4 linked regions of the Oreochromis niloticus genome follow. The protein of the gene in region 1 interacts with the protein of each later gene in a pairwise test. Links are inferred from orthologs where the notes say so. Each region holds a gene or a part of one and is shown in the gene's direction. Other genes may lie near its edges. The genes, in order: fhl3a, pak5, cnnm3 and sap30bp.

Region 1 (7,878 bases):
CATTACAAGTAAAATGCCTGGTGAGCCACGGCAGGGGTAAATACTACTTTGGAAATCAGGGACTTGTAACGAGCTGACACAAGAACAGGAGCACAACAGCTTGTGGGTTTGTTCATGGTCAGCAATGGAGGAATGCCCTTGCAGGGCAGATGCAGAGCCATTGGGTTTTCCGATATGACCTCGTAAAAATAACACTGCTGACATATTGTGAGGCTGCTGCACTCGGGGTGAGCTCAGGACTTTGGTATGTCTCCCCTGGCCGTGGTTGGTCTTCATCTGCAACGGGCCATTTGACCAACCCAGTCGAAAAATGCACGGGCTACAAATTTCTCCTGTGATTATTTAGTTGTATCTCCTAAGAGATTGAATAAGTTGTTGCTGTCAGCGGTGGAAAGTAGTGTTAAGGAAATTCTATTTACATCATTTCTATTTTCTAGTACTTTATTATTCTTAGATGGAAACATCAAACTTTTTACAACATCTGGCAGCTACACTTCAAACTGACTTTAGAATTCATTAGAGTGAACCCATTATGCCTATTTCTATATCCATAATGCCTTTTTCTTGGCACACAATTTAATATAATCCCTATTTACTTCATACCAGGACTTCATGCAGTTGCTCAATCATCTACTTTCAAGATGCTGTAGTTCTTCCCCCTTTAAGGAAACCTTAAGGCCAACTTTCTCCTGATTGGCTGCCTATTGCAAACAGAAGATGAAGATGTTTTCATGTAGTTAGCAATTCTGTCAAGCATCTTTCCTCTTATGAATTCCTCATATGGTTTAGTTTAGATAACTAAGTAAGTAAAATGACCCAACATTAAGAAGAAAAAAAATGAAATCAAAGAGGATTAATAAACAAAACAAGAAGAAACACTCAGTATTATATTATATAATAGCAGACATCATTTTACCCCAGAAGGATCCTTTGAGCACCCCAGATTTATCTTGTGACTGACATACTAGATAGTTTAAAAGCATTTATATTGATTCAGTCTAATGGTGTAACATATAGTAATGTGATGCCCACGGTACATATTGAATGCATAGCTTTTCCCTTGTAATAGAACAGTGTTACATTCTGCTTCTTTATGCCCAGTTCCCAGTAAATTACAACATAGGGGCACTACTGGGTGGGATTCTCACAATAGTAAGTTAACCACAAACTCTTGTAAAACAAAATTGTCTACTATTAAGTGTTGATATGGTGCTTATTTTCTCTGCTTGAGTTTTGAGAGTGTATATTGTGCCATAACTGGTTTTATACTCCAAGCAATCATGGCGGCAAAGTGTAGAAAAAAGGGGTAGGGTTTTTAGATGAGACCTGATGTGCTCTGTAAATAAGCTCTAATTGCTGATATCATCAAAAGCCTTTGTTTTTAAATCGATAGTCTTGTGATAGGTTATTTTGAGCTTATCTTTGATAGATGATAGATGGTGTACTCCACGTGCTTCTCTATCTAAAGCTACAAAGATATTGTAAATTCAATTTAAGTATCCAAACACCCTTTGATTTTGTGCTGTTTTGTGCCTCGCACCACTGAATATGACAATATTTTTATTACATTATAGCTGGATGTCACGATGTCCACTTGCCATCATGTATCTGGTGAAAACACACACAAATTGGTGCAGGACACATTTAGATATCACTCAAGTGGGGCATTTAGCAATTTAGTAACACCATTGGTCTTGTGCTCAGGGTCATGTTGTTCATTTGAGCTAATTTGCCTCAGATGTTTCAAAACCACACATCCAAGAAAAGAGCGTGGTGTGTGTAGCAATACACAATAATCAAGAAAATTCATTGCATAGCATTCACTTTAGACATTATGATCCATTTCTGTTCATGATCAAGTCACATTCAGTTGACTCATATTAAACCTTTAACTTGTTTTGCAAAACTAAAACATAAATGTTTAAGGTGAAGGTCACAGTTAACTTGGTTACAAAGTAAGAAACTCATCGGACTATCTCGACCACGATGAATTGACAGGCCTGTAATCCTGTAATTTGTTTCACACAGCCTGATGGGACCACGCCTCGGAGTGTAAAATTAGAATTCATAATTAGGGGGTTGCGTGGAAGTGAGGGGTCAAATGAGTGTGGATCACACTCTTTCAGTTTTCACAGAACCATGAAAAACAACGTGCCACATGGTCAGAGGGTTTTGTTTTAAACTTTAAGGTCAAGGTCAAGGTCAAATTTATTTATATAGCACATTTCAAACAGCCAATGCTGCACAAAGTGCTTAACAATATAAAAATGGCATTAAAAAGCAACAATGTAATACAATAATAACAATAAAAAACAATAATAGGACAATAAAAGAATTAAAACAATAACTAAAACTAATTCAAATAAGACCAAAATGCTTGGATCATAGTGTGTTAAAAGCCAGGGCATAAAAATGTGTCTTTAGTAATGATTTAACTTAATATGACTTTAACTTTAATGACTTTAACTTAATATGGGCTATCCTCTGTTGCTCGTCCATAAACAATCAAGAAACAACGATGCCATATTAAGTGAATCAAATTAGCAGGAATTTATATTGTAGTATTTAATACTTCTGAGCACTGGCTTTCTTGGAAAAGTCTTATTTGAAGGAGGAGCTTATTGACTGATCGCTGTTCTTATTTACTGATTGTCATTGAAGGGTGGTGGTACAGCTTACAGAAAGTATGTCCACAATCTAATACAAACATCTAGTCAGTTATTTATCATACAGTGAAGAGATGTTTTCATCTCTCTGCAATACATTTAAGTGAAATTTGCTTTAAATAGTGAGTTGAATCGCATAACAAATAGCTAACAGATAGCTGAGGATGGACACTTTTTCTTGATCAGAGAGTTTTAAGTTACTATGTTAGTGCCTTACAGCCAGAGGGCTTGTCAGATGGCTAAAACAGTATATGAAACCTTTTTGCCCTGCACACTGGCACATTTCTGAAACTGTCACTCCGCACACATCACCCAGAGACCAATCCTGTTTTGTTAGGTGGAAGTGAGAAAGCAGGATAGGTTTGAAATTCTCTTGCATGGTCTGTTTTTGTTGTTTGCAAAGCTGTTTGTGACACTTTTTATTGAAATGCAGTGTAACGTGAATAATGTCTCCCAGGAGAAAGCGTGCACCACTGTTCACATCTGTGTGGCATTGTGACGTTTTTTACTTGACCTTTATGTGGCCTTTGATTGAGGCCATCCTAAAATAAGAGTATCAAATAGCTTGCCTTGCAAGAAGCATATAAACCACAGTGAAGGTTCGAAAATTGAGATCATCAAACTGTGAGAAGATTAATTACTGGTTCAAGTCACAGATATGGTCATATGGTGCGGTGGCTATTATGGTCTTATCTCCGCCTTACTGAAAACTTGCAGAGCACCCTTAAAAGGAAAATCTGTGAGAGGGTCTTCAGTATAGCTGCAAACAGCAGCATGTAATAATAACAATACTGACATCCTTGAAATGAAGTCCTGCTATGAGCTTAAACAGTGGTTAAAAACAGCTTTTTTTGGCCACAGGATGAGCTTAGGGGCGGCATCAAAGCAGCATAGGCCAGTATGAGGTCGTCAAGGATTGCTTTGAACTGTGAACTGCAATACAAAGATATGCTAGTAGACTGAAAATATGGAGTTGGAAATTAGCACCACAGTTCTTTAATTACACACATTGAACTGTTAAATGTTGAGGTTTTTTTACCAATTCACAAACAGTTATTTTTTGAAAACTTTTCCTACAAAGAGTGTAGTCTTTGTGGTCTTTGCTATGTTTGAGCTGCTGCTGTGTATATGGTTGAATCCCTAACCACAGAAAGTGTATGGTGACTGCCGACCTGAACATAATGTACTGTTTATCATGCATGGAGGCACTTGTGCCAACGATACTGTGTTTAATGGGTTGGGAACATACTGATTCACTATAATGACTCAAATGGAGATATCAGGATCATTCACTGTATGACAAAACAGCAGCCAGCTGCATCCAGGGGAAAATGTCACTCCCACTTGTTGAGTCATGACAAAAAATGAAACATGGGGAGTGGAGAAATGACCCACACTTTAAAATAGGGAAGTGTAATTTAACAACTGGGTTTGCTCTTTACCCTTTTTGGTAATGTAACTGCATGAAAAGGTCAACAAATGTCACTTAAAAAGCAAGAGATTTGTGTGTTTTAGAAAAGCAAGAATGTCTTAATACATATCTAGGCTGCTTGCTGCTGTTCACTTTCACCAGTTAATATTTATACTTACACATTATTTAGACTATAGGAAATATAAAGTCTCTATTTGAACCCAAGTCATTAATATCTGGAATTGATCTGAGACCAAAATGTCAGAGCATTTTAATCCTATTATATGCATCCATTCATGCTTTATTTTTATTTATTTTTTTATGTTTTTATCGTAATGTATTTTATTTTTTCCCCCGCTTCTCCAGTTCAGGGTGCTGGCCTGGCTGGAGTCTATCCCAGCTCTCATAGAGTGGTCACGTCTCATGTGTATTAACTCTAAACATTGCATGGGAGGTTCACAGATACTTTCAAATTCATCTGACAGACTTTTTACTTCTGTCTCCTAGATGCTTGATTTATTTACTAACCGGCTGATTGCTTGTCAGAATTAATTAAGGAAGCTCGTGAGCAGTATCGCCTTCTCCAACATACTTATTGTAAGTAGGTGTTTCCTGTTAAGGATATTAACTCGGCTATAATATGTAATTCTACTAAAACTGACAGCAGCACGGAAAAAATAAGGCCCGGTTGGGATGTACCCTCCACTGCCTAGACTACTCTCAGGTCTCGTTTGAAGTCGCTGCAGGGAGGGAGGAAGGGAGGAATGTTTTTTGGGGGGGCGGGATCTTGTGACTCACCAGCAACTTCCTCAGTAGTAGGACAAAAGTAGCCGGCAAGCTGCATCCCTCTCTGCCGCAGAGGTTTATCAACAGTCAGAAGAAACACAAAAAGTTGCACAGTTGCGGGCGACACGTCGGAGGAGCGACCTGCGAACTGATCCCAGTCCTGATCTGAGCGAGTGGCTGCTGACACAGAGGAAGAGGCGGGTTACCACTTTGAAGTTGCAAAGGTGCCTCCAGACTTCAGAGACTCCTGGTAGGATTCAACTTTCTTTTAAAAATATATACAGATAGATAGTTATATACAGACTTTTCCCCTTCTTACTATCACGGTATTCCTTTTACTAAACGATGAATATACCTTTAAAACAGGAAATTACTTCGCTAAAGATGGATCATGGCAAAATAAAGTAACTTATACATACTGATTCTTGGTGAGGTATTCAGCTGAAAATACAATTCACAAAGAATCTCGAGTTTAAAGAACTTAAAGTGTTGTAATGACTAGTTGTGTCATTACTGTTTTATATTCAGTAAATTGATAATAAATAACAGCCTCTGATTGTGTCTCGTGGCAAAAGTTGACTCTTTGTGAAATGTGTTTTCAGCTGAATAGTAATCAGCTTACTGAAATACTGATTATTATTAGTTGCGTTTCATGTGGTTGAACTGGTAGCACTGCACTTAACTGCACAGTATGAGCTTCATGTATAATTTAACATCTTAAGATCACATTTACTCTGCACTTTTCATGTTGGGAATTGCAAGATAAGAGCAGGCTTGGGCTTGACATTATGACAAGTATTAATCCTTCACACCTTAGTCAAACACAGGGCCTGTGGATAAGCCTGCAAAGTAAAACCCAGAGACATGTCAGGGGGCCTGGATCTTTTCTGTCTGTCTATATGTTTTTCTCCTTTCTTTTCTTTTCTCCTTTCCTTTTCTTTGTTATTGTAAAACAGTATATGCATACATGCAAATGAGGCATAAAACAAATAATGTCCACTTAATGGAGAAACAGAGTGTGTGTTAGTTTGTGTGACCCACTGAACTGTGTCGAGGAAGGATTAAGAAGCAACTTTTGTACCACTGAAGCTCCCGGCTGAGCAACGTGTGAAGGCCTCACAGAGCAAAGTCCCTCGGGCTTAACTTGTCATTTCTCCAGCGGAACAAAGTGGGGTATGGCAGTGTGCGTCTGGGATGGGTGTGTCCGTACTGCAGCTTCGAGGTTTCTGTTGGGCGTGTATCGTGACATCATAATGCATAGTAGCAGTGTCATCCTTGTGGTGATTGTTTGGTGTTTCATCTGTTGTGTCATGCGGGTGCAGTGGGCATGCGGTGAGAGTAACGTGTTCACAAAGGGATAAAGTTTAATCCAAGGATTGAAGATGGAAATGGTGTTTATTTTTGTTTCTACAGCGTAAGCAGATTACAGACACAAAGTATTGTGTTTTGTCTTGGGTATAGTTGGAAGGGCTTTCAGGGACATAACAACTGCTCTTGTGCTGACACTACATGTGATGTCAAGTTACAAACTGAAGATGCAAATTCAGTTTTTCCATTGTGTTAGGAGGATATTTATTACATTGCATTGCCTGTAACAGATCGTTAACATACAAAGATTTGGTCAAGTTAAACTCTAACCATGCTTTGAATCACTAGGGATCTCAGAAACACAGAAACTATTGTGCAGCACTGACATATGGTATTGTCACCATATAAAGTTGATATGGCACTTACAGTTGCATATTTGCATATCCAGCAGATAAGGAACAGCACAGGCTTTTGTTTAGAGCTCTGAAGCTGGCCAAACAGTGATTATAGCTGGGATATTGACTTTCCTTTCTTAGTTTTGTTCTCTCAACTAGTTCCTCTTTGTTAGTTTTGTCTGTCTGGAACTCAGCAAGTAGTATACAGTCACACTTTCCAGCTTTAGCTGGGAATAGGGTTTAATGAGAGCAGAGATACGCAGTGAGCATAATAAAGTTAGGATGAGGACACGAGAAATGAGAAAATAATGAGGCAAAAATGCTGATACTCTTTGCAAATGAAGGAACCTGCAGATCTGGGTGATGTCTTTGTGATGAGCAACTGCTTATGCATAGTCTCTTGATCCATTGTTAAAATTAAAATATTATTAGATTTAAAGTAAGGGCTTGACTCCTGAAACCTAGTGGTTCCTTAAACACATGTGTCATTGCGGCACAGCTGAGGCCTAGGAGACAGAGGCAGTCCTCTACTAATTAGAAGGTCACTGGTTCAATCCCTGACTACTCTAGTCTGTATGCTGAAGTATCCTTGGGCAAGTTTTTGAGCCCTGAGTTTACCCCAGTGCATACATTGGTGTGTGAGTGTTGCTCATGATGGTTAGGCAAGGTGCTTATACATAAAGTAATGTGATGAAGACTTGTAGTAGAAAGTGCTTCGAGTCCTCATTTAATGCAGAAAAATGCTAAATGAATTATTAAATAAGGTGTGTTTTAATGCAAAGACAACAAATGTTCAAATCAGCATTAGATCCAGCACCCTTGTTTTCTTTGTGTCACTACAGAATTGAAGGGATGTGCTCTTTTTGAACGCTCATTGTGCTTTCACCATTGACAGGTTATGTTTGTTATTTTTACACAAATGCCTTGCCACAGTAACACGCAGAAGTAATACCCTAGTAACCAAAAGACAGTCATTCTGTCCCATTTAGCATCTGGGAAGCTTGCCTTGACAGAGCCCACGGGCTGTATAATGTATTTGTTTGCTTTTTTCCCTCTTCCTCTCTCCCTCTCTGTTTCATTGACCATGGTCACATTCTTCAGAGGTCTCAGTGTTTTCTAAAGGTTTCTCCCTGCATGGTGGTTGGACCATGGCCAGCTCTAAACTGTAGTGGGACTGCAGCTAAATGAATTGTCTGTAGCTAGTTTTATGTGTTGGCACCATTTGAAATAAGGCCAAGGATAATGATGGAGGAACTGGTGGTCAAGTGTTTGCAGGTGGTTTGAGAGCAGAATATAGATTTGTAAAGAAGTG
Region 2 (7,325 bases), on another chromosome or scaffold:
CTGCTTCTCAGTGAAATGGCAGGCCTACAAAAAGGCTGCTTCAGTCTCGGAAAAAAAGAAACATTTGTCTCTTCAGTCTAGATGTGGATGCTGTCTGCATACAGATGTTAGCCCTGGGGCACTGAAACTAATACCATATGGCATAGCCTTCCTTTCACGTGCTTGATAGTGTCGATGGCAGGGCTGAATAATGGTTATTCCTTCATTCTTTATCAGTGTACAGGTTCAGATAAGAAGCAGCACTTTATCTACCTTTGCTTATTGGCTAAGGAATCCAATATTATGAGTGGTTTTTTTTTCCACAGTGGAGCTTGTTTTTTTCTGTTGTGTCAGTGTGTTATTACTCCACATCTCAATCCCGGCAAATTCATTCTGAATAGATGTGTTGGAGAGCTGCATATTTTTGAAGCCTGGACTCAGACAAAGGAGTTGGATGCAAGGAAACGATGCATCTTTGTCCGATAGTTGACTGTACCTGTGTTGTGTTTACCTAAAGTAGAGGCTGTCAAAATGTAAGATCAGGAAAAACATTTTTTTGAAACATTGAAACATGAATGCCCAGGATTCACTGAAATGATGGTCGGATGGTTTTAGTTTGGCTTCACGTGCTATAATAAATAATAAGAACTGGATTCTTGGTGAGGAAAAAAATAATAATGTAAAGATCAAAACTCAACAGCTTTACAGACCTCTTTATTAATTGTAAAAAATAATTAAATATATTTTTCAATGCAGTATTAAAGTAATTTATTATATTCCTTTGAATATAGGTTTGTTTAAAGCAGCTTTTTTTTTGGTTGTAATACCTCACTTGACCCCTGGGACGGGATAAAATTGGCATTAAAGGCTGAGTAGGGGTGACATAATCCAGCTCTCGTAATACATTCATGTTTGGCCTGAAGATTTGTCTTGTTTATTAAAACAGTCAACAGCTGAAGCAGCAGCAGCAGATGTGATGCATAATCATGCTTCCCACTTTTCGAAGACACCACTATGTCTGATGCCCATCACAAATCAGCAGTGGGCTGCAATAAAATCATGTTAAGTGCAACGCTGCTGTGCAGTAAAACAAGATTAATTGTTTGCACGATGACCGATATCAGCAGAGGGATAAAAAATGTAATTATATACTTGCTCTGGAGTAAGATGAATTGTTAGATCAACAGATAGAGTTATATTGTGCATATTGAGAAGGGCTAACATCCAAATGAGTTTTATGACTTAATAATCAACCTGTGGTCATAAACTAAATAAATGTATTATCAAAAGGATGAGTTGTAGTGGTGCCTGGGTTCAGTTTAAAACTTAGGAGCAATGATATTTGAAGGTGGAAGTATGGCTCCTTCACATTGTCTGATGGTATTTCGGGCTAACTGAAAGCAGCTCTAGTGCACACTGGAGGGATACTGTATCCGATCTTCCCTGGAAACGCCTAAGGAGGAGTTGGAGGTTGGGGCGGGGGAAGAGGATCTACTAATCTACTGAGCTTGCAGCAGAAGACCTAGACCTGAAAAAGTGGTCCTAAATGCATAGATCAGTCAGTCAGTCCCAGTTAACAACATCCTTTTCTCTCAAATGGCATGCAAACCTGGGTGGTCATGTTCAGCTGGTTTATACAAGAACATTTGTATTGATTGGTTCTTTATAAAGCAGTAATATTAAAAGGTTCTATTTTTTTGTGAGATTTCATCTTCGATTCACATAATAGTCGTTGAAAAGAAGAGACAGATTTAGTTTGGGGTCAGCCTTTTACACAGCTATACACATATATACATATAGACATGGTTACACATCTGCACACACGCTTTCTCAGGCAGTGATATGCAGTCTTCTGTCCTCAGGACTGCAAAGATCTCATTTAGATAACTCTCCTGATCTCTCGGTACCTCCCAGAGTCACCCTTCTTTGCTATATCCATCTATTATGTTATCACATGATGAGATAACAACTTTAGCTGATCCTTTCCCTCGATAGTGAGAGATCGGTGAGAGACCTGAAGAAAGCAGCTGACCTGGATATTTCCCTTTCGCAAATGTTTCTGTCATTTGCAGGGATTATGATTGCGTCAAGCATCACGTGCATCTGTATTGTGACAGCTACGATGTACCCGCTCATTAGACATGTGGAGGGTATTGATGCTCTTAAAGAGTGTGGTATTTAGCCAAATCAGCGTGAAATGCCATTATTTTAACCGTCTCTTTTACTTATATAGTCTGAAGCTTTCCGCCTCCAGAATGCTTATGTTGCCATCTCCATGTGCGACTGCGTATATAGGATGTGGAATTAAATTCACAGTCTTTCCTTAAATTAACCAGTGTTTTAATAGTGACAAACCACATGATAAAGACAATTATTTATTTATTTTTTGCATAACAACAAATTTTCCCTTCTGAACAAAGGAAAAAAAAAAACGATATAGTTTTTTATTGCATGAACTCCGAAAATTAGACCATTGCTTTAAATTGACCATTTAAGTTTTGAGTGTTTTGTTCTTCGAATGTTAAGAGCCAGTGACTGCAAATAATTTCAAACTGTTGCCCTAACAGTACTTGACATTTAGCATTTGATTTTACTGGTCTGTGGTTGTTAAGGGGAGTGGGACCATACTTCACTTTGAGAATGCCACAGAAAACTGCATGATGAGCGGCCTGACATACTGACATCTATAAGGCTGATAAATCAGTTAGAAAAATTACATACATCATTACATCCAGATATAATGATTCACAATCATCATCAGATGAAAAGCTGATATTTTGCAAAATAAGCCAAATTTATTTAATGACAAGTATTTATAGTTACGCCCCATTTACATGGGATTGGAGACCATTAAGGGGCCATCTGGCAACCATCTGGTGGATTCCACAAAAAGTTGGTGAGTGGTTGATGGAGGTTTCTGGCACTCACGTGTGTGAAATTGGTTGTAGAGAGATTTGTGGCGCTGCACCAAAAAACCTCCTTGTGCTTTGTGCTTTGGTTGCTAGCAGGTTGCAAGCTAGCAACCTGGAACACCCCAACTTGTCTGCAAACACTGGCAAAATTATTGCCAGGCAGAGGTGAACTGTGAAATGTGCAACGCAAACTGGAATATGGGATGGCTTGCCTTCAAACTTTGAGCTCTTTTGACATGGGTTGGGTTGCAGCAGTGACTGGCAAAGTAAAAACAGTCCTCATTTATCATGAGAACACAGATATGTCATACACTTGTTTGTTTCCTTTGTTCCCAAGTGATTAACCAAAAAGAACCCCAAATTGTCAGAGTTCACTCTTTTGAGGGAAAAAATGTATCCTGTAATATTTGTTTCAGGTCTTCAGGAAGAAATGGACCTTAAATTCTTGATGTAACATGACACAAATGCTTACAGTTAAATTTGTCTGCAGAAACACATTTCTTGTGTCTCATTTCCTGACCATTAAAACACATAGCAATGAGTACCTGCTAAAAATGAATGTTCTTTCAGGAGTTCATTGCATTCTTTGTGCCTCCAATTCAGTTTTTCAGTAATGCAGTAGGATGTGCTCCACATCCATGTGCAGCACAACCAGCAGCAATCTCTGTTCAAGCCTAAAAAGTACCGTATCATCAGCCTTGCGGTCCACGAGTATACATTAGATATACTAAACTTGCAGATTTCTTTCATCCCTTGGCTTTTGCTCAGGCTACCTTTTTTTTCATATTGGCATTATTTGAAAACAACAGTGCGTTCAATATTTTATTTGTATTTGGCCTGCTGCCTTGCATAGGTGTAATTTCCCATCCCCTCTTTCTCTCTCTCTGTAAGGGAAAAATGCTGTACAGTGTTATCCTGACAGCCTGGCACTGCTTCTGTGGGACTGTTTGCCCTCAGCACAAGGCCTGTCCACGGCTGCCACCGCTCAATGTCCCCTTCTTGTCGGCAAACGGCCAGACTGTCACAGTCTCTGACTGGACCAGCTGTTTTTTTTTCTCTCTTTCTTCCATCTTATCTCCTCCGTCACACTCTCTGTCTTCCTCCCTGTGACTTGCCGTGTGAAAGAGGCAGTGATAGGCCGCCTAGTGATGCAGCTCTTGACACAAACGTTGATATCCACACACGCTGGCATCGGTCGAAGACAGTTTTTATGTGTGTGTGTGTGTTGGCCAAAGCGACCAGCACACAAACACCATCCTGTGGATTGTGGGGACGCAGAGGACACTCACGCTCTGTTGTTTTTGTGCTTCTGTTGATGGACAAGTAAGTAGGAGGCGGACAGTGAAGGTCAGAGGCAGCTCAGTTTGGGACGCGGCCGGTCAGACCCAGTTAGACAAACAATAAACGTAAAATGGGATGGGTCCAGGCTTAAGCTGTCTGGCCGTGCCTCGGCCCGGGCTGCTGGCGTAGGCACTTTTTCGTGTCCTGTGCATCTCACATTGGGAGTTATCAGAGCATACAGGCAGGGTAGCATTACTAGTAACAGTTCGCCGGGGAACGCAGAGGGTCCCGAGTGTGACCTGATTTGTCAATTCGATGACTTCTCATAAGCATCGCTCCACCGGGGGGAATCATCAGCTTACAACTGGAGAGGTGGACTCGCTGTTCAGTGATTTTTGTGCAAAGAAAATTGAGGCGCATAATGGATTTGTCAGGAGTGTAATTTGACATCAAAGCGAAACATCTGAGGAGCACTTAATTGTCTGCCTCATTATGGCCTACCCAGAGAGCTTTGATTGGCTGAAAGAGACCGTCAGTTTGTTGCCAGGTAAGACCTCTGATTCACGCAGTCTGTGTGTAAAGGTATATTTATAATCAGAGCTGGAGCTTCCCATTGCTCCCAAAATCTTTAAACCTCATTTGAGAGAGGAATGTTACAAACTGTTGTGAACAGTGTGCAAATGATAAAAATCTTTTTTAAAAGCCTCTCCATCAGACCGAGTTGTTTACCGCTCGACGAAATACATCTTTCGGGAACGGAAGGTGAAATGCATGTCTGTGTAAACAGTTTTTGGAGCCAATTAAATCATCTGAAGGAACAGGGTGAAGAGAGAACAAGTGAATGCAAATGAGAGAGAAGTGAACAGCAGACAACAGAGCAGGGCAGGACAAAAGAGGAAGGAGGGGGAACAAAGACTACCTGTGAGGATGCAGGGACACATTTGCTTCTCACTTTGCTCATTTGCCACCACTTCAAGTAAAACTAAACAGAAACACGGGTAATTTCTTGAACACAAAGGGCAAACCGGGCTTAGGCTTTCACTATGAACCTGTTGACCTTTTAATTAAATTAGGAGTGCCTCCTATTCTCTGTAGGAACAAACAAAGTAGAGAGCATTGGCCCTCCCTCAGCTTGTTTATCAGAAGGCATTTATGTCCTTTTTCATGTTGCGTTTTAAATTATGTATGAAATGTATTTGCATATTTAATGCATGAGTGAATGCTCTGCGTCTCGATACCAAATTATGCTTCTAAATTACAATCTAAAGGACAGAAAATTAATGTGCTCTTTGGAAAACATGATGAATAGACTCTGCTGCCACAGAACATTAAAGCGTGCGCCAAAAATAGATACAGCGTGTATACAAGACACAGACAACACGAATGCTGACACACACACACGTGCAGACTCCCCGGTTCACTGCAGTGTGTGTGTCTGTTGAGGTGCTGTTGTACAGAAGGGGAAATGCCTGTGGAGGCTCAGATGGTGACAGATGGTTTGGAGACAAATCAGCCTGGGAGTCAGGATCTCTGCCCTGGGACCAGTAGCCCATTTAAGTGTGTTGGTGTATATAGCGTGTGTGTGTGGTTACTGTGAATCCCATTAAATGACGTTGAAGGCTAATTGTTAATACATTTGAATGCATTTGCATGAGCCTATGGATGGCTGAGCATCTTCCTTTTTTGCGTGTAGAGGATGTTAAATGTTATGTAATGCTTCTCGTAACATCAAATGTCATTGCTCTGACAGATTAAACGGTATGCAGGCATGTCGCACACCAGTGTGCTTTCTTTTTTAGATATTCACGCTTCCTTTTTTTATGAACAAATGAATACAACACACTCAGATATGAAGGTAAACAGTTTGATCACTTGTTTCCTCAGCATCCTAAACGATCTCTTTGTATGCAGTAGTGTCTGTCTGCTTAGCTTTTAGTAGTTGTGTAGCTTCTAAAAGAAATCAGTGTTTGCATTACAAACAGTACTCTGCTTATTACCGGTCGTTTTCAGCCATACCCATGTGTTGAGTTACAGTGGAAATAAAGAGGCAGGATGCTTTATTATAGCTTCATTAGCTGTTTGAGTAAACTGCTTATCCTTCTGTGCAGTGCGGTGAAAAATCGGATCGAGGCCGTTCACCACACACGCAGTCGCAGCTCACTGCAGTTCAGCACAGCTGGAATGACGGTTCTGCAAATCTCTAATCTCTGCCATATATTACCAGGTGCAGTTTTTCATCAGAGTGACATTGTTACTCTTTGGCGGGCTAACCTTGCAGGCATTAGTGTGAAACTTCTCAAAGTGCTTTACAATGCGCCCATAAATTACAGCTCGAGAGGTGCTCGTACGGCAGCCTGGAGAAGTTGTGCAGTAAGTAGTTCCTCTGGCTTCTGCGTGGCAGCAATTCCCAGTGGGCTCTACGCTTCAAGTACATCTCAGTCTGAACTTGTTTTGTGACTGTTGTGAGAAAGAAGCTGCTAAAAGCGCTGCAGGAGTACGTTTGGGCTGGGCGAGTACATGAACATGTGTCTCCATCTGCTGTCTAACACACGTTCAGTGCTGTGTTTATGTGTGTCTGTCTGCATGTGTTGTTGTGTCTCCTTACTGCTGAGCTTGGCCTTGACGACTTAAGTCCTGCTAGCCTTTAATAATCTTATTCCCGAGAAGTACCATCTAGGTCATGGGTTTCCACCTTCACTATGGGCTGCTTACCCACAAGTGCAAGAAGGAAAACAAAAGACATTTTGTCTTTTGTGAAAAGAAAGCTTGATTAAAATATCCCTCTCGTTTAGCTAAAGCTGTTTACTGTAATAGATTTTGTTCATATTGATAACACTGCTGGATTTACCACTACACACCTATTTAAAACAAAAATTGGTTTTCAGTTACCCTCAGACAGATAAAACAAACTAGCTAGCTTGCTAGCCGATTTTAAAAGTGCTAGCTATTTAGCTTGTTGTTTGGTTCAGTGTCTATAAATTACTTTGGTTCCTTTTAATCACTATTTTCTTGTCAAACAAGGACCAAGAGCTACATACAATCATTTGAAAAATAAACTTTTCACAGGATTAGAGTCTTGTGAAAAACTAGCATACACATACTACTTCTATAGGAATTAAAAGTGTATGTAACAGCTGGGTAATGCTAATCAAA
Region 3 (7,500 bases), on another chromosome or scaffold:
TATGTTTTTTTTGTTTTGTTTTGTTTTTGTTTTTTTACTGGAAATGACATAGGTGTCTCCCAAAAGATAATATAATAAGACGATGTGCATTTCTCAGCTTTTGTTTACATTTGAGCAAAAAGTGTCATGTCTAGAATCATTCACACCCTTCACAAAGTCTCTGGTAAAACCCAAAGTTCCAAATGGACTATTCCAAATAGTCCAAGCTGTTCTAAAGCATACTAATTACCCTGATTAATTGGGAACGGCTGTTTTAATCTGCTCTACAGGTGAAAAACAGCGGCTCTCTGCAGTTGGGTTGTGGACAGTCATGGCTAAGATAAAGGAGCTCAGTGAAGACCTGTGGCTGCTCACAAGTCAGGAAAGGACTATGAGGCCATATCTAATTGTTTTCAAGTTCCAGTTGCTACAGTGAAAAGTATTATTAAAAAATACAACATGTTCTGCACTGTGGACTTGGTTGGAAGCCAAAAGTGACACCTGTGCTGACCAGGAGGAAAGTGAGAGGTGTGAAAAAGAATCCAAGGATCACCACCAAGGCCATACTGATGAATCTGGGCTCTGCTGGTGGCAATGTCTCAAGGCAGACAGTCCAGCAGACACTGCACACTGCTGGGTTCCACTAATGCAGACCAAGTAGGACGCCACTTCTCCAGATAAGGCATACAAAAGCTTGCTTGGTCTTTGCAAATCCTCATCTGGACAAAGAAGAAGACTTCTGGTCTTCTGTTTTATGGTCAGATGAAACAATTGAATTGTTTGGTCACAATGATGTTTCCTTCATTTGGTGTGAAAAAGGAGAAGCATTCAACCCAAAGAACACCATCACAACTGTTAAACATGGTGGTGGGAACCTAATGCTTTGGGGGTGTTTTTCGGGCAATGGACCAGGGAACATAATCACAGTAATGGCAACTGAAAGATTTGAAGCTCAGATGAATGGGCAAAAAGCTGGTCTGCAATTATAGGAAGTGTTTGATTGCTGTAATAGCCAATAAAGGCTTCTATACTGATTATTTAGAAGGGTATGAATAATTCTGGACATGACACCTTTTGCTAAAATGTAAACAAAAGCTGAGAAATATATATATTTTTTCCACAATGATGCCTCTTGTACATAGTCTTATCTTTTGGGAGACATCCGTGTCATTTCTGGTCAAAAAAACTTGCTGGTTCAATAAAAGTATCTTTAAGTCAAAATTTGCCATGGGTATAAATAATTATGGGCTTGAGTGTATATGTGTGTGTGTGTGTGTCCTTATTGAACTACAGTTATAGTTTAATACATTTGGCCTTATTTCTCGAAATCAGACTTAGAACATCCAGAGTGGGTTTGATAAAGTTAGTTCTAATAAAATTCAGTTTTCCTCAAAGTCTTAAAATTGTCTAGAAAATTTACATTGTTTTCTGGACACCACCTGGTCAGCCAGCAGTTGAAGGGTGATAATTAGCTGTCGCTTAGCTAGTCAAAATGGAGAATGTATCAAAAAAAAAAACAAAACTCCAATGTGAGTCCAATTTCACTTTAGAAGTTACACACTGATCCAGTGCTAATTTTAGTGACCTCTGACTGATGTAATAGGGTTTCATTACTGCCAATGTGAATTGCATGTTTATTTATGCTTATCCTTAGGCGGCAGTTTGTAATTGGATTCATTGTTGCCTGTTTTGGCCCCTGGAATGGATTTTACAAGGGTTGCTGGAGTTTCTAGCTTCACATTTCTAAGTATACGGTTCCCAAAAACCAGAGTTTTTTCCTCAGCTGGTGTGTCAGTAAGGTGGAAAAATTTATCAAACAGATGAACAAGTTGGTGGTGTTCCACTTCTGTTGTGGACTACAACACCTCTGCACAGTCACCCTGCCAGTGGCTGTTCCAAGAAGACTTGTTGGGGGAAAACTAACAACGGTTAGCCATTTTAATTCAAGTTAATTATTTTATCACCGAGTGCACTCTCAGTGCTGCTGATTATTTCTGAGGTGAATGCTGTACATTGGAGCTCTAAAATTTCAGACAGGATACAATTAAGCATTAAAGCTTATTGTCTAATAAAGGAGACATGGAAATAGTTTGTCGTAGATCAAAGTGGAATTAATTTGATTGATTTAACAGGTATTCTTGGTGTGAATCCTGTATTCTAGTAGTTACAATCCCAGCAGCAGGAGATTAGAATCGAGCATAATGACATTTTCTAAATGATCAAATTAAAACCGTAGCGCTGCAGTGATTTCAGGTACGGCTTAACAAACCTGCACACATAAAATCTATCCCCTTAGCGCAGGGCTAGTCTGGCACAAATAAATTGGGCCTGGCATTTTTTGTCCAGGAGACCAATCATGATCATTCACAAAAATGCATCAAAAATAAATCTATATTGATTATGTACATAATTCATTGATATTGAGAGGCTTTCTTTATAATCAGGTTGGTCCAGTTGTTGTTGGTTAGCTCTTAGTTTCACTGCCCTGCAGCATATGACACTTAAAAGCTACACTTTAACTATTAGGTATGGCTCATGGTCAAAGCATCCACGCATTTTACCTGAATCCTTGATTATGTCCCTCTATCAATTTGGTTACCACGTTGATTACACCTTGTTCTGTCGCTCTGTGAGGCCTGGTTTCTAGTTGTTACTGGGTAATATAGTTCACGATGCAGCACATATTCTACATGTCGGTTAAACATTTTGCTGCATTTATTTTTAGTTTCTATTTCTCTTTCAGCTTTTTAGCTCCACCTTTTCGCTACTTCTTCCACACTTATCACAGTTTTACAAGATGGGTAAGGGCACAGCGAAGGTACGGGAGAGGCCGGTTGCGCTGAAAGATTTGATTGGGCAATCCAGTGTCGGTAATGAAAATGAACCAATGGGCTGCGTGTAGCACTGTTGACCCATATTACCGGTCCCACCCTGCCTCAGCTAACATTCTATAAAGCACTAGCACGTTGCAAATAAAAGAATCAGTAAAACATGGCACTTCCAGACATAACATAATGTAGTCCCAAAAGTTTTATTTTTATTCTTCCAGTTGCGGAGTTAATGCTGTTGAATTAAATATAAAAAGAGGATTAAATTTAAAAACAGAATTCAAACATAAGCTTAATCTATGTATGATTTTGAGTTCAGCAAGGATTCTGTCCTATGTTAGAATATATTAGCGTTTATAGAATAACAATACTGTTGAAAAACTGCTACCTACAGAAAAAAATCAAGCAGTAAAGCTGCATCTGAGGCTCTCTGTATAGTACCATCAAGGAAATACAAAGACTTTAGACACTACTGATCCTCTTGCTTTTCCGGGAGAACTCCAAGGAATCTTCCAGTGGTCGCACCACTTTCTGGAGACCTGATTGGTTAGTAACTGGTGATTTTATACCTGGTAATCTCTAATCTGGAACCTAACCTGGACCCTATGTCACAAATCTCGTTCAACACACTCAGGGTATCTTTATGTTATCTGGATTCACTTACCTTAACAATCGCGATCAGGATAAATGGTCACATGAAGCTCGTTATCAACTCGCTAAGGTAACCCAGGGCTTCACCTGAATGCTCACGTGACAGTGGTGGCGTTTATAGCATCTATCTATCTAAAAGGCAAATCCTTATGACACCTACAACCTACAACCACCACATCAAATGGTGGTTAAATATCTTTAAAGAGCACAGGAAATATTAACCCATATAAAACATGTTTACCACTCTCTTCTTTTGACAACAGTCTGTAAACGTCTGGGAGCTGAGGAGACCAGCTACTGGATTTTTGGAGTGGAATGAATCTAGCTACTTAACAGCTGGTTGTTCAGTTGTTGTATTTTTCATTTGATGACATACAGACAAAAACTATGTTCCACGCAGTGTTGCCAACTTAGCGACTTTGTCGCTATATTTAGCGAGTTTTCAGACCCCCTAGCGACTTTTTTTCTTTAAAAAGTCGCTAAAAAAGACGTGAAAGCGCGTATCGCTTTTACTCTGAACAAGCAGCGGGTGCTGTAACACAGTCAGTTCTTCTTTTACTCTTTTACTCTTATGCTGTTTTGTGGATCACAAGGTTTAAAACTACTTATAAACACACACACACACAAAGTAACTCCACCAGAGTGCCTATTTCGGGCCACTTTTGCCGGTCCAAGCCCGGGTAAAGGAGCAGGGTTGGAATTGTGACATTAAAAAAAACAATAATTGCTAAAAGAAATTTAATTTGTAGTTCTAAATAAACTCTAAATGCATTTAGGACGTTTTTTACTCACTTTATGTCTCTTCCACGATGTTATTTCTCTCTCCAACAACATAGGTTACAATTACATTAGCATGACCAATTATGCAAATTAGGTGATGACGTCATTTAGCGACTTCTAGCGACTTTTAGGACAACCAATAGGGATTTTCCTTACTGAGGAGTTGGCAACACTGGTTCCACGTCTAGTTACATTTGTTTTTGTGCTTCGTGTTAGTCTGCGTCTTTGTGAACTGTCTCATGTTTCCTGTTTTACTTTGGTAGTTCTTGTCCTATGTTCATGTTTTCCGTTTTGCTTCCCCTTGGTCTCATCATGGTCGTCCGCCCGCCTAAAAAAAAAGGTCCAAACAGCCTACAAGTGATATTTTCTCCCAGTACTGACAGCTGTATTAGTTTAACAGAAGAGGCCCAAAGTGATGCAGTTTTAAATTGTGACAGAAGATGGGAGCGAGCGTCTGTCGCTGTTTTAAATTCACTACAGGCTGCACTCGGCTCTTCTTGAAAGGCATGTGACGCAATAAAAACAAGATGTACGACACATCCACACTCGCGGATCAGGCCTGTACGCGCGTGTCTGGAACCGTAATGGCCGCCGCGCAGCTCAGTTGCGCTGTTTGTTTTGCTTCGTTGGCTCAACCCCCCGGGGGGTGGGGCCGCTGCGGGGCTAAAGTCACGTGATCCAGGCAAAGCCAAGCTGACCAATTCCAATATGGTGGCCAGCCTGGCAGGTCTACGGTTCCTGTTGATGATAGTGTTGTTCTGCGGAATCAGGTACGGCGCCTGCAGCCAGAAAGCTCCGCAGGTTTTGGGGCTGCGACTGGAAGAACCAGTGGATCCGCTGTGCATGAAGGGTCGTATCATTTCAGTACCAAAAGGAGCCACGTTTAAGCTCCGTCTCTTCGGGTGTAATCTGAATGGAAGCTTGCCGTCGGTCGAGTTCGCAGGGGCAGCTGGCGGAGCGGCTGGAGCTGTCGGTGATACACTGGACCCTTGCGAGCAGCAGTCCAACCGCCAGGACTCCAAGTTAAAGGTGACCAATTTAGAACTCGACGATGCGCACAGCGTGCTTCTAACTGTGGAGGTTCGCACCTCTGAGGGGGAAGCTGGCAACGAGCAGACATACTACCACCTGTGTGTGTGGAGTGGAGAGAAATGGACATCTACGGGTCTGGACAGACTGCGAATAAACACCGACACGGATCTGCCTGCAGACTACATCCCGCCGTGGGGTCTGGCCGTACTGATAGTGCTTGTGCTTATGATCTGCGGATTGCTGAGGACGGTGAACCTGAGCCTTTTGTGGCTGGACCCAGTCGAGCTTTATGTCCTACACAGCTGTGGATCCGAGGAGGAGAAACGAGCCGCCAAACGGCTGGAGCCGATCAGGAGAAGGGGGAACTTCATGGTAAGTTTCTAAAAGCACGTGGGGAAGCCACAGGGAAAGAAAGGTGCAAATGAAGTAGTGTTTCCTAAACGCATGTCTTTTCCACCGCAGGCATGTTCTTTGTTGTTCCTGTGTGCTCTGGGGCACTCTGTCCTCGGTGTGCTCCTGTACCGGGCACTGGGCTCCATCGCCTCTGCGGTGTTCAACAGCGGCTTCCTTATCTTCTTCCTAGCTGAGCTGGCTCCTCACATCTTGTGCTCCGGTTACGGCTTCCAGCTAGCGCCTGGTCTGACCTGGCTGGCCCAGGTTTGCATGGTGCTTACCTGCCCCCTGTCTTGCCCTCTGGGCTTGATTCTGGATCTAGGGCTGAGGAGAGACATCAGCACCTGTGGGATAAGGGAGAGGGCCATGGAGATGATACGGGCAAACGTGAATGATCCTTACAGGTAAATATAGTGGACTTGGGAGAGTATCACAGAGATCTGACATAGAGGTGCGATGAGTATTGACACTTGGTCAAAAAAAAAAAAAAAAACTGTTATCAAGCAATCTATTTGTTTGTTTTTTGTTTTTTTTAAGAAAGAAAAACACAAATGATGCTTCTGAACCTACAGAGTAAACAGAACTAGAAAAAAAGACACTATAGGACATAACCAACAAAAAGTGTGTTCTGTCATACTCTACAGTGCATAATTCTTATGGTACATTATGTTAGATTCACTGACATACAGGAACAATTTAGTGTTCCAGACACAGACTCTTTTTGCTAAGTTTGAGTTTAATATTTGATTAAAATGTTTGACACATTAAGATGCTTTGATTCATGATTAATGCCAGTTTACTTTAACAGAAGCATTTTGTGTGATTTTGGCCACTGCATTCTTGTACTGTTCGCATAACCAATGATTAACAGGAACATCATTCGTAAAAACTTGAAATGTAACTTGAACCCGAAAGACTTGACTTTTTAGGGGTTGTCTTTGGTTAGATCTCTAAACACTTGATATTCAAATTGGATTAGTCCAAAAAACTTGAGATTATTCTGAGGGTGGACTTCTTTTTAAAGACTTCACAATTGTTATATTCTTCTTAACACTTGCCCATGAAAGACCTGAAACTTGAATCACACGTGACCTAAAAGTCTTGAGAGTATTTTGAAATTTAGACTTGTTTTTTTTAACAGACTTCACATTTGACCCCATAGTAGCCTTGTAATGATTTGAAACCTGACCTGGCCTAACACTGTAAAAATTTGATGCTTGAACCAGATTAAGTCTCAAGACTCTTGAAGACTTGAGACTTCAGTTTGACTTGCCTTTAAAAGAACGTTACATTTTACCTGGACTATCCAAAGTGAGGGTTGATGTGTGTATTGGCCTAACTGTATTAACACCTTAGACAGATTAAGTCTTGGGACTGGACTCAGACTCATTTTCAAAAGATTTAAGACTCGACTTGAACTTGGTTCAATAGACTTTTTTTAGGACTAGTCTGCATTAAATTTGTAGGATTTGAGACCTGACTTGAAGTTGGTTCTTAAAGATTAGCCTAGAAGATTTGATAATTGACTTGATTGTTGACTTAGTTGTTTTCTTCATTATGTTTGTAGTGAGTTTGTAAAGGAGGAGTTCAGTCGTGGGACATTGCGCATTAAGACTGTGGAGGACATCCTGACACCTCTGAAAGACTGCTTCATGCTGCCTAGCTCGGCTGTCCTAGACTTCTCCACTATGTCTGAGATAATGCAGAGTGGTTACACCCGTGTGCCCATTTATGAGGAAGAGAGGTGGGATCAGCAACACGACACTCACTTAACAGCTTAAAAAAACACGGCATAAAAACTTGACATGGCAGCATTTACCTCATCTGAACAGAGTAT
Region 4 (7,211 bases), on another chromosome or scaffold:
TTGGAAACACCAAGGAACAGTCAGTACGAAGCACGCGAGGCATAAGACTATCAAAATAAAACGAGGACTAACTAAAACTGAGACCCAGACTAAGCCTTACCAATTTGACACAGAGACAGATGATAAACACATGGACAAGGTAGAAGGAACAAAATGGGATTACAGAAGGGGATTAACAAACCTGTCATCAACTAAAGCAGACAGGGAACTAATGGCAAAGAAGAACAGGAAATTTGTAAGCACAAAGAGAGTAAAGATAACACCATAAACAGAAGGCTATGGAGCTCACACACAGATCCCATCACAAAAGCACAAACACAGAATGAACCTTCAGAGCAGGAGAACTGAACTAAAGGGACTCAGGAACCAAAGGAACAAATAACAGGAATAATAGGAAGCTAAATGTCAACACTAAAGAATACAGAGTCATAAAGATAAATAAGAGTATAAAACTAGAGAAAACTCAAACCCTGACACCTATATCACTAGGTTTTAGGTTTATCCAGATAATTTAAGGGTTAATTGTGGGTTATTCAGTAATATGAAGGCAGTTCACATAAAAGGTGGGGTATATGGTGGAGATAGGAAACCAATAGGTGTAAAATCACCAGTCACTTATTCCAAACAGTAGGTCTTTTCAAGTCTTACTGACCACTTAAAAGCACACAACAGTGCTTTTTTAATAACACACACATCCACGCTGGTTTGCCTGCAGCAGCTGTTTTTTGTGCTTGCGTTTAATAATAGTTAAACGTAAGTAGTTTTATGTTCTTCTGTAAAAATCAGTCACCCTGCTGCCAGTAGACTTATCCACTTTAAATGAACATGCTTGTAGCTAGATTAATAAGCTGTGGGTTGACTTGTTGAGTTGATAACCTCCTTCATGTGCCCAGGTACACTAAGCTTGCCTGAGTATGCTGTCCTTGCTTCACAGTATAGGACCCAGTAATTGTGTAGAAAATTTCTAGACTCAAAATTCTCTCCCAGCTTGTGCTAACCCCACCCCGTGTCTCTGTTTTGTTTTTTTCTCCCTCTGTCTTGTTTTCCTCCTCACAGCCACGGTTCTCTTCATGATATTACTCTCATGCATCCACTGCTGTTGTTTTACGAAGCCAAAGCACCAGCCCTCAAGAGTTCAACCCTTACACAACATCTGAGGAAGAGACAGGACAGAACACACCTAGAAACATCATCTCCATCCTTCTTCGGGCTTCTCTGGAAGAATTAAGTGGGTATCAAAAACAGGCAAGGATGGGAAGTTGGTGCCATGATATTTCCAGTACTGGATAAGGCTCCAGAGAGCCACACCACTGGAATCCAGCTGAGAGGCACAACTCATCAAGATTCATTATAAACCAAAACAATGAAACACTGTGTGGCAGAGTTTCATTGGCAAAGAGACACGGCAACAAAAGCTGATACGTCCTGAAATGTCACAGTGACTCAGTTATTACAAATGTGGTTTGCGATGCTGTTCACATTCATCAGGAATGTGAGAAACAACACGGACAGTGTACATTCCAACATGTATGTGTGCTCTGGACACAAAGTTCAACAGAAACATCGTTTTGTTCAAAAACAGAGCACCCTCTGCTGGCTCAGTGAAGCAAATCGTGCCAATGGAAAATGTGAATTATTCATTGTTTGATGCAACAGTTTTAAATGTATTCCCGTTATATTGTAAAATAGTAGTGTGACATACAGGAAAGGCAGTGTTTCTGAGACGCCACTTTTATGTGTTTTTGCTCCTTCTTGCTTTTGTAAATGTAACGGATGTTAAATACTTTAATTAAATAAACATTTCTTTGTTCTTATGCCTATTGTAGTCACCACAGTCTATTAGAGTGAGGATCAAAATGTCATCAGTGACTTGTTGCTCAATCGTGCACATTCCTTATCACCAGAATTCCTCTTTGCCATTGTGAGTTTAAACATTAACCATGAGCTGTTGCTTTTACTTTGAAATGGCAGTCACCTGGAAATACAAACAGGAACTGTGCTACGTTTGCATATTCAGAACACCACTCCTGTGCTCGAAGTGAAAGTAATCTGTTATTTTGGACTATTTAAAAAAAACCTTCTAGTTCGGCTCGTGGATCAGAAAAGCAGTTGAAGAGTCTAAGCTTTCTGTTGTCGTACTCTGCTGTGTTTTCACGTTCTGTTAAGACTCAGTGAGCCGTTCACTTGGCAGGACATGGCGGTGGAGAGGTGAGTTTTTGAAAATGAATATGCTAGGTGACGAAAGCCCTTAGCATCTGCAGATTAATGGGCCGTGCCAATAAGAATATAACATATCTGTTGCTTAGATATTTGGAGTGTGAAATAACTTTTTTTAGTTGGCAGATAATGTGCTTCTTTCAGCTCTTAGTGCCAAATGATGGTATTAATAAAAATTGTGTGAGTTGGTAAATATCAGGGCATATTTACCTGGTTTTCATCTGGCTGATCATTCTCTATACAGTGCACTAGACCAGCAGAAACCCACAGGGTCACCTGAGGACTGGGTGGAGTGGTTCCTTCATCGTATGCATCAGGAGCCGTGGGCACTAGGTGGTATTGCCGTCATTGGAGTGTTTGTCCTGGTAATTCTCTCTCTGGTCATCTTTGCTCTACTGTACGGATGCTGCCGCAGCTCAGGAGACAAGAACACGAAGAGAAGGCAGAAGAATTCAAAGGACAGAGTCATTTAAGTGTATTCAGATAAAAGAGAAAATGTACACTTTTCCACTTTTGAATTTCTTTGCTACATAGTATGGGACTCTTTTTTTAAGGCTTCTTCAACAAAAATTTGAATGAAATTAAAATGCCCATATATTTTTTCAGTATCCGCAAAAATGGCCGGACCACATCACAGACGGCAAACCATTGTTCCACTTTGTAACACGTCATTGCCAAGCAGCTGATTGTAAGAATTGTAAAATGGTGAATGGACTGGATTTTCTACTCTGAGCACTCAAACTACTTTTCACTACAAGAAGAAAATATTTCAATATTGCAGCTGTATGAAAAATAGCATGAACTGACACTAAAATCATAACCCTATTACACTAATAACTATTAAACCTTTTCTTCTAATTTATTCCAATTCCAATTTATTGTGATTTGAAATTATGCATAACCATTCTATCAGTCTACACAAATGTTTGTGTAAATTCATATGTTTATCTAGTGATTTTTTTTTACGCTCACACATAGTAAAAAGTGACTGTTTCAATGTGATTTCAGTGTGATTAAATATGCAACCAGGCTGGGGGATTATGATAATAAGACACACATGAATTCAATCTAGGTATTAAGGAAGGAAGGAAGGTAAAAGAACAATGGAGGGAAGTAAAAACACAGCCCTGTGAGAAACTAACCTTCAAAATAAAATGCAAAGGGAACTTAAAGAGACCCCCAAAAAGCACAGAACAGCTATGAGTAGAGAAGGGGGACAAAGAAAGCACACAGAAGAGTAAAATATTCAGAAACACAAGCATCAAAAAGTATGGCAACAGCAGAATCATAACAGCTTTATTCAAAACCACATCATATGTAATCAGGAGGAAAGAACAGCAATTTACTAGTTTTCGAATGAGTGCTTGCTCAAACCACTTCCTTTGGGTTATTAGTGAAGATGGATCACATTTGTTTCCCAAATGTTAATTAGTTCTTACAACTAGAGATTAAATATTCACAGCATTTCACAGAAATGCAAAATAACAAAATAATTTTTGTTATTAAACTCCTACTGGATACTGGGTGTTTGATCTGAAGGTTTGTTTGCTTTACAGTGGTGTATAAGACGTGTTGGTTTTTGTGCATCTAGTGTTTCTAGTATATCAAAAAAGTCAAATACCATGTTGTCAGATATTGCAGGAGGTGTATAGAACAGGTTATGTATGCAATAATGTGCAGCACAGGTTAAGTGCGTATGAAAGCAGAATACATTTTAAATGAGACTTTAAAAAGTCTTAGCATCACAACTGGACATATTAGTATAAAATCATTCAGATTTTATAAGTTTTGGTTGGCATAAATGTAGTTTAGTGTTTCGTGTCTGTGAAACAATACCTAGTACAATACCTACAATACCAAGTACATATGTTGGGTGTAAACTGTAACGGATGAATGCCTAAGAGATGTTTACACAAGTATTTTTAAAGCTTCTTCCTGGTACAACAATAGAATGACTACATTTCCCAGTGCCAGACCGGTTCCTTCGGTGTCTTACCGTTTTGATGACGTGAATATTCTGCGACCCACCGTTTATGCGATACTACACAGAAATGGCGAGCGGTAAAAAGAGTACGCTGCTGTCGTCTTTAGCGGTCTATGGAGATGATTCAGAGCCCGACTCTGACCCTGAACCAGAAGAATCAGGTATATAAAAGTATTTAACTTCCTTTCATACGTTTAATGACTATGAAATACTTTGCTGTAGTTCCGCCAGCCTTACTGCGGAACTTCATGTGGGAGCTAACGTTAGCATGTAGCTAGCTTAGTTAACGTACTTTCTAGATGATCTTCATGTTCATGTTGTTTTGTTCGTAAAAAATGATATGCGCATATTTCACTGGATGGTGTTGTTTTATTGAGAGAAACTTTTGCCAAACGGAAATTAACAAGCGTCTTTAATTAACCGAGGAGGGTGCGTTTTGTGTCAGGATACCAGGTTGTGTTCTTGACTCCGAAATGACCTCGTTCACTGGTGGGATTGCAACAATCTCAGAGGTGAGATTGCAACAATCTCACCAGTGGTGTATGTTGTGGTCAAAAAACAAAAAAGTCTAGTCTTATTCGTGGAAAACGTTTGCAAGTAACCAGTCTCTTTTTTAGAATCACCGTTCAAAACAACCGGCTCGATAGCGCAATCCCATTCATTTTAATGGACGGAAAGTTTGGAGGTAGTCGAGAGCCCAACTTTGAAAATGCTTAAAAAACACTGCATCTGAAATATATTTCTTCAACTCACCATTTTCAATCTGCACCCACTAATCAAACACGTTTTTCCTCAAAGACAACGGCTGTACACTTTTTTTTTTAACTGGATACATTTAAGGGAGATGAGTGTCATCAAACTGCCTAACAGAGTTTAAATACAGTTTCATGAAGGGCCTTTGAAGAAAAGCAAAGACAACCTTTTTCTTAACTTTCGCACAGTTTCACAGATATGTAGAGCAAAGTCTTATGATGCTCACAGATTTTTAAAACGGATGGAGCAAGCCACAGACCATGTCCGGCAGTAACAACAATCTCATTTCAATTTGTCCTCAAATTGCATAGACTGGTTAATGAAATCTTATGCTTGAGTCTTGATTTCTTTTGCAGAATGTGGGTAGTATATATATTTTTTTTCTAAATGTAGTATATTTTCCCGTAGTTGTGATCCACTGGCAGTTTTCATGTCGGCCTTATTATGTTTTTTTTCCCTCATATCGTCCTTTCTAAAAGAGCCAAAGCCTGTTTGTTGGCACACAGGGAACAAATGTACTGTTGATTTGTTTCTGGACTGCTGGATTATGACTTGTGACATAAGATCATTGTAATTCTAATTTTACTAACCCACATTGTAATTTGTTACTGGACAGAATAATTATCGGATTAATCTCAAATGAAAGTGGTCATTAGCTACAGATGGATGTGCATAATGTACTCCACTGGAAGCGACTACACCAGCAGTAAAACTGCTTTACATTAATAACCCATTGATAAAATATACATCAGTATTGTCCACTGAGCTCTTCTAATTTTAATGCTTAAAGTAAATTTCTTGAGAGTGAGAGACATATGACATGTGGTTGTTAGTTGGCACAGAAGCTTTCAGAGCAGGGATTCACGAGTAAGTGCCAATTTAGGGAGTCGGTAAAGTTTTCAGAGTATATTACCATTAGTGAGGTCCCAGTGTTGCCTTTAGTATAGGCAATGAGGGCTAGAACAGACAATTTAAAACTGAGGACGAACTCTTTCTTTGGCTATTTCCTGTTGTCTCATAGGCTGGCTTACTTTGAGGTTTCAATAGTTAGAATGATATCACTCATTAGTTATGTGTGAAATAAAAGAATGATTTTGCTGCTAGTGATGCCTAATTGATTTCTTTTACTTCTGTGTCTTTGACCCCCCCCCCCTTGCGATCAATAGGGGGGCGTGTAGGAAGCCTTGTGTATCGCTATGATGAGGATGACCTGAACCAAACCGTGGACCCAGAAGAAAAAGAGTCTGCAGATGAAGACAGCAGAGAAAACAACTCGGTCAGTTTTGAATTCTGTGCTTAGCTTTCTAGATTTTATTTTTACTCATCAATCAGTTCCATTCCACTGATGTCTCTAGCTGACAGGAAAACAGTTCACATGTTGTGTGGTCTCGGAGCATGTGTTATGTTTTGAGACATTGAATCTTCACTGAGTACAGAGGGGTTTGGAAGGCTGATTGCTTGGTTGGATCTGCATCATAATCAGGATCTTCCCACTACAAAATCAGCATCACCAAAGTACTTTTTTTTTCTCTTTTCTTTTCTTTAGTTTTAGGGTCACATTATTTGACTTCTTTTAAGCATAAATGCAATTTTTCAACATCCCCAAAAGTTGATTCTGTTTATCTGGATGTAGCGTTTTCAGTGGGAGAAATGTTTCGTCACTTATCCAAGTGTCTTCTTCAGTTTCAGCTGACTGCAGGTTTCCCCTATCTTATAAACAGTACATTTGCATAATGACTGAAACTAGCACCACTGAAGGAACAATGGGCTGGGAGGTCAGTTCCTTGATCATTAAGATGCAAATTCTCATGACCGTTGATCAAAGACCACTAATCAATGATGAAATCTTCAACATTAAAAGGCTAACGGTTGGTTAAGACAAACCATGGTTCCTCCTTTGTTTGATGTTGAATGCCACATATGTAGTCTTATCTATGCTTGCTTTATGCTTGACCTGGGATTGCATGAAGGCAATCCGTGGGTGGTCATTGATGGCCCGTCTGCCTGCAGAGAATGTTTGTGGTCAGATGGAGCCAGGGTTAAAAAAAACAACTTGCGATACAACTGATCTTTGAGCTAACTTGTCATGTTGTTGGTCTGTCAGCCAGCCTCAGAAAAGAGCGAACTTTCAATGTACAAAGAGCTGAAGATTAATAGTGTTTAAAATCAATGAAGTGTCCACTGCAGGCGCTGTCTGTACTTTTACCGTTTTTACAATCTTTGATTTTTCCACGCTTCTCCTATTCCCCGGTAATCT

What was found.
Region 2: the proteins of fhl3a (region 1) and pak5 interact in a two-hybrid assay, tested with the Homo sapiens proteins (2 studies listed by BioGRID and IntAct). The two-hybrid records come from large-scale screens. The link is inferred for Oreochromis niloticus from reciprocal best matches to the Homo sapiens genes FHL3 and PAK5.
Region 3: the proteins of fhl3a (region 1) and cnnm3 interact in binary tests that used the Homo sapiens proteins (3 or more experiments, as listed by UniProt). The two-hybrid records come from large-scale screens. The link is inferred for Oreochromis niloticus from reciprocal best matches to the Homo sapiens genes FHL3 and CNNM3.
Region 4: the proteins of fhl3a (region 1) and sap30bp interact in binary tests that used the Homo sapiens proteins (3 or more experiments, as listed by UniProt). The two-hybrid records come from large-scale screens. The link is inferred for Oreochromis niloticus from reciprocal best matches to the Homo sapiens genes FHL3 and SAP30BP.

What each region holds. Positions count from the first base shown.
Region 1 is NC_031976.2:27,158,436-27,166,313, reverse strand, and holds the start of fhl3a (four and a half LIM domains protein 3), read left to right. Parts: upstream 1-4,874; 5' UTR 4,875-5,113; intron 5,114-7,878. UniProt on the Homo sapiens protein: Recruited by SOX15 to FOXK1 promoters where it acts as a transcriptional coactivator of FOXK1.
Region 2 is NC_031980.2:4,445,301-4,452,625, reverse strand, and holds the start of pak5 (serine/threonine-protein kinase PAK 5), read left to right. Parts: upstream 1-4,312; 5' UTR 4,313-4,664; coding exon 4,665-4,719; intron 4,720-7,325.
Region 3 is NC_031972.2:10,683,074-10,690,573, reverse strand, and holds the start of cnnm3 (metal transporter CNNM3), read left to right. Parts: upstream 1-4,496; 5' UTR 4,497-4,946; coding exon 4,947-5,642; intron 5,643-5,732; coding exon 5,733-6,067; intron 6,068-7,230; coding exon 7,231-7,407; intron 7,408-7,500. UniProt on the Homo sapiens protein: Probable metal transporter.
Region 4 is NC_031973.2:25,197,131-25,204,341, reverse strand, and holds the start of sap30bp (SAP30-binding protein), read left to right. Parts: upstream 1-4,205; 5' UTR 4,206-4,250; coding exon 4,251-4,362; intron 4,363-6,120; coding exon 6,121-6,230; intron 6,231-7,211. UniProt on the Homo sapiens protein: Plays a role in transcriptional repression by promoting histone deacetylase activity, leading to deacetylation of histone H3.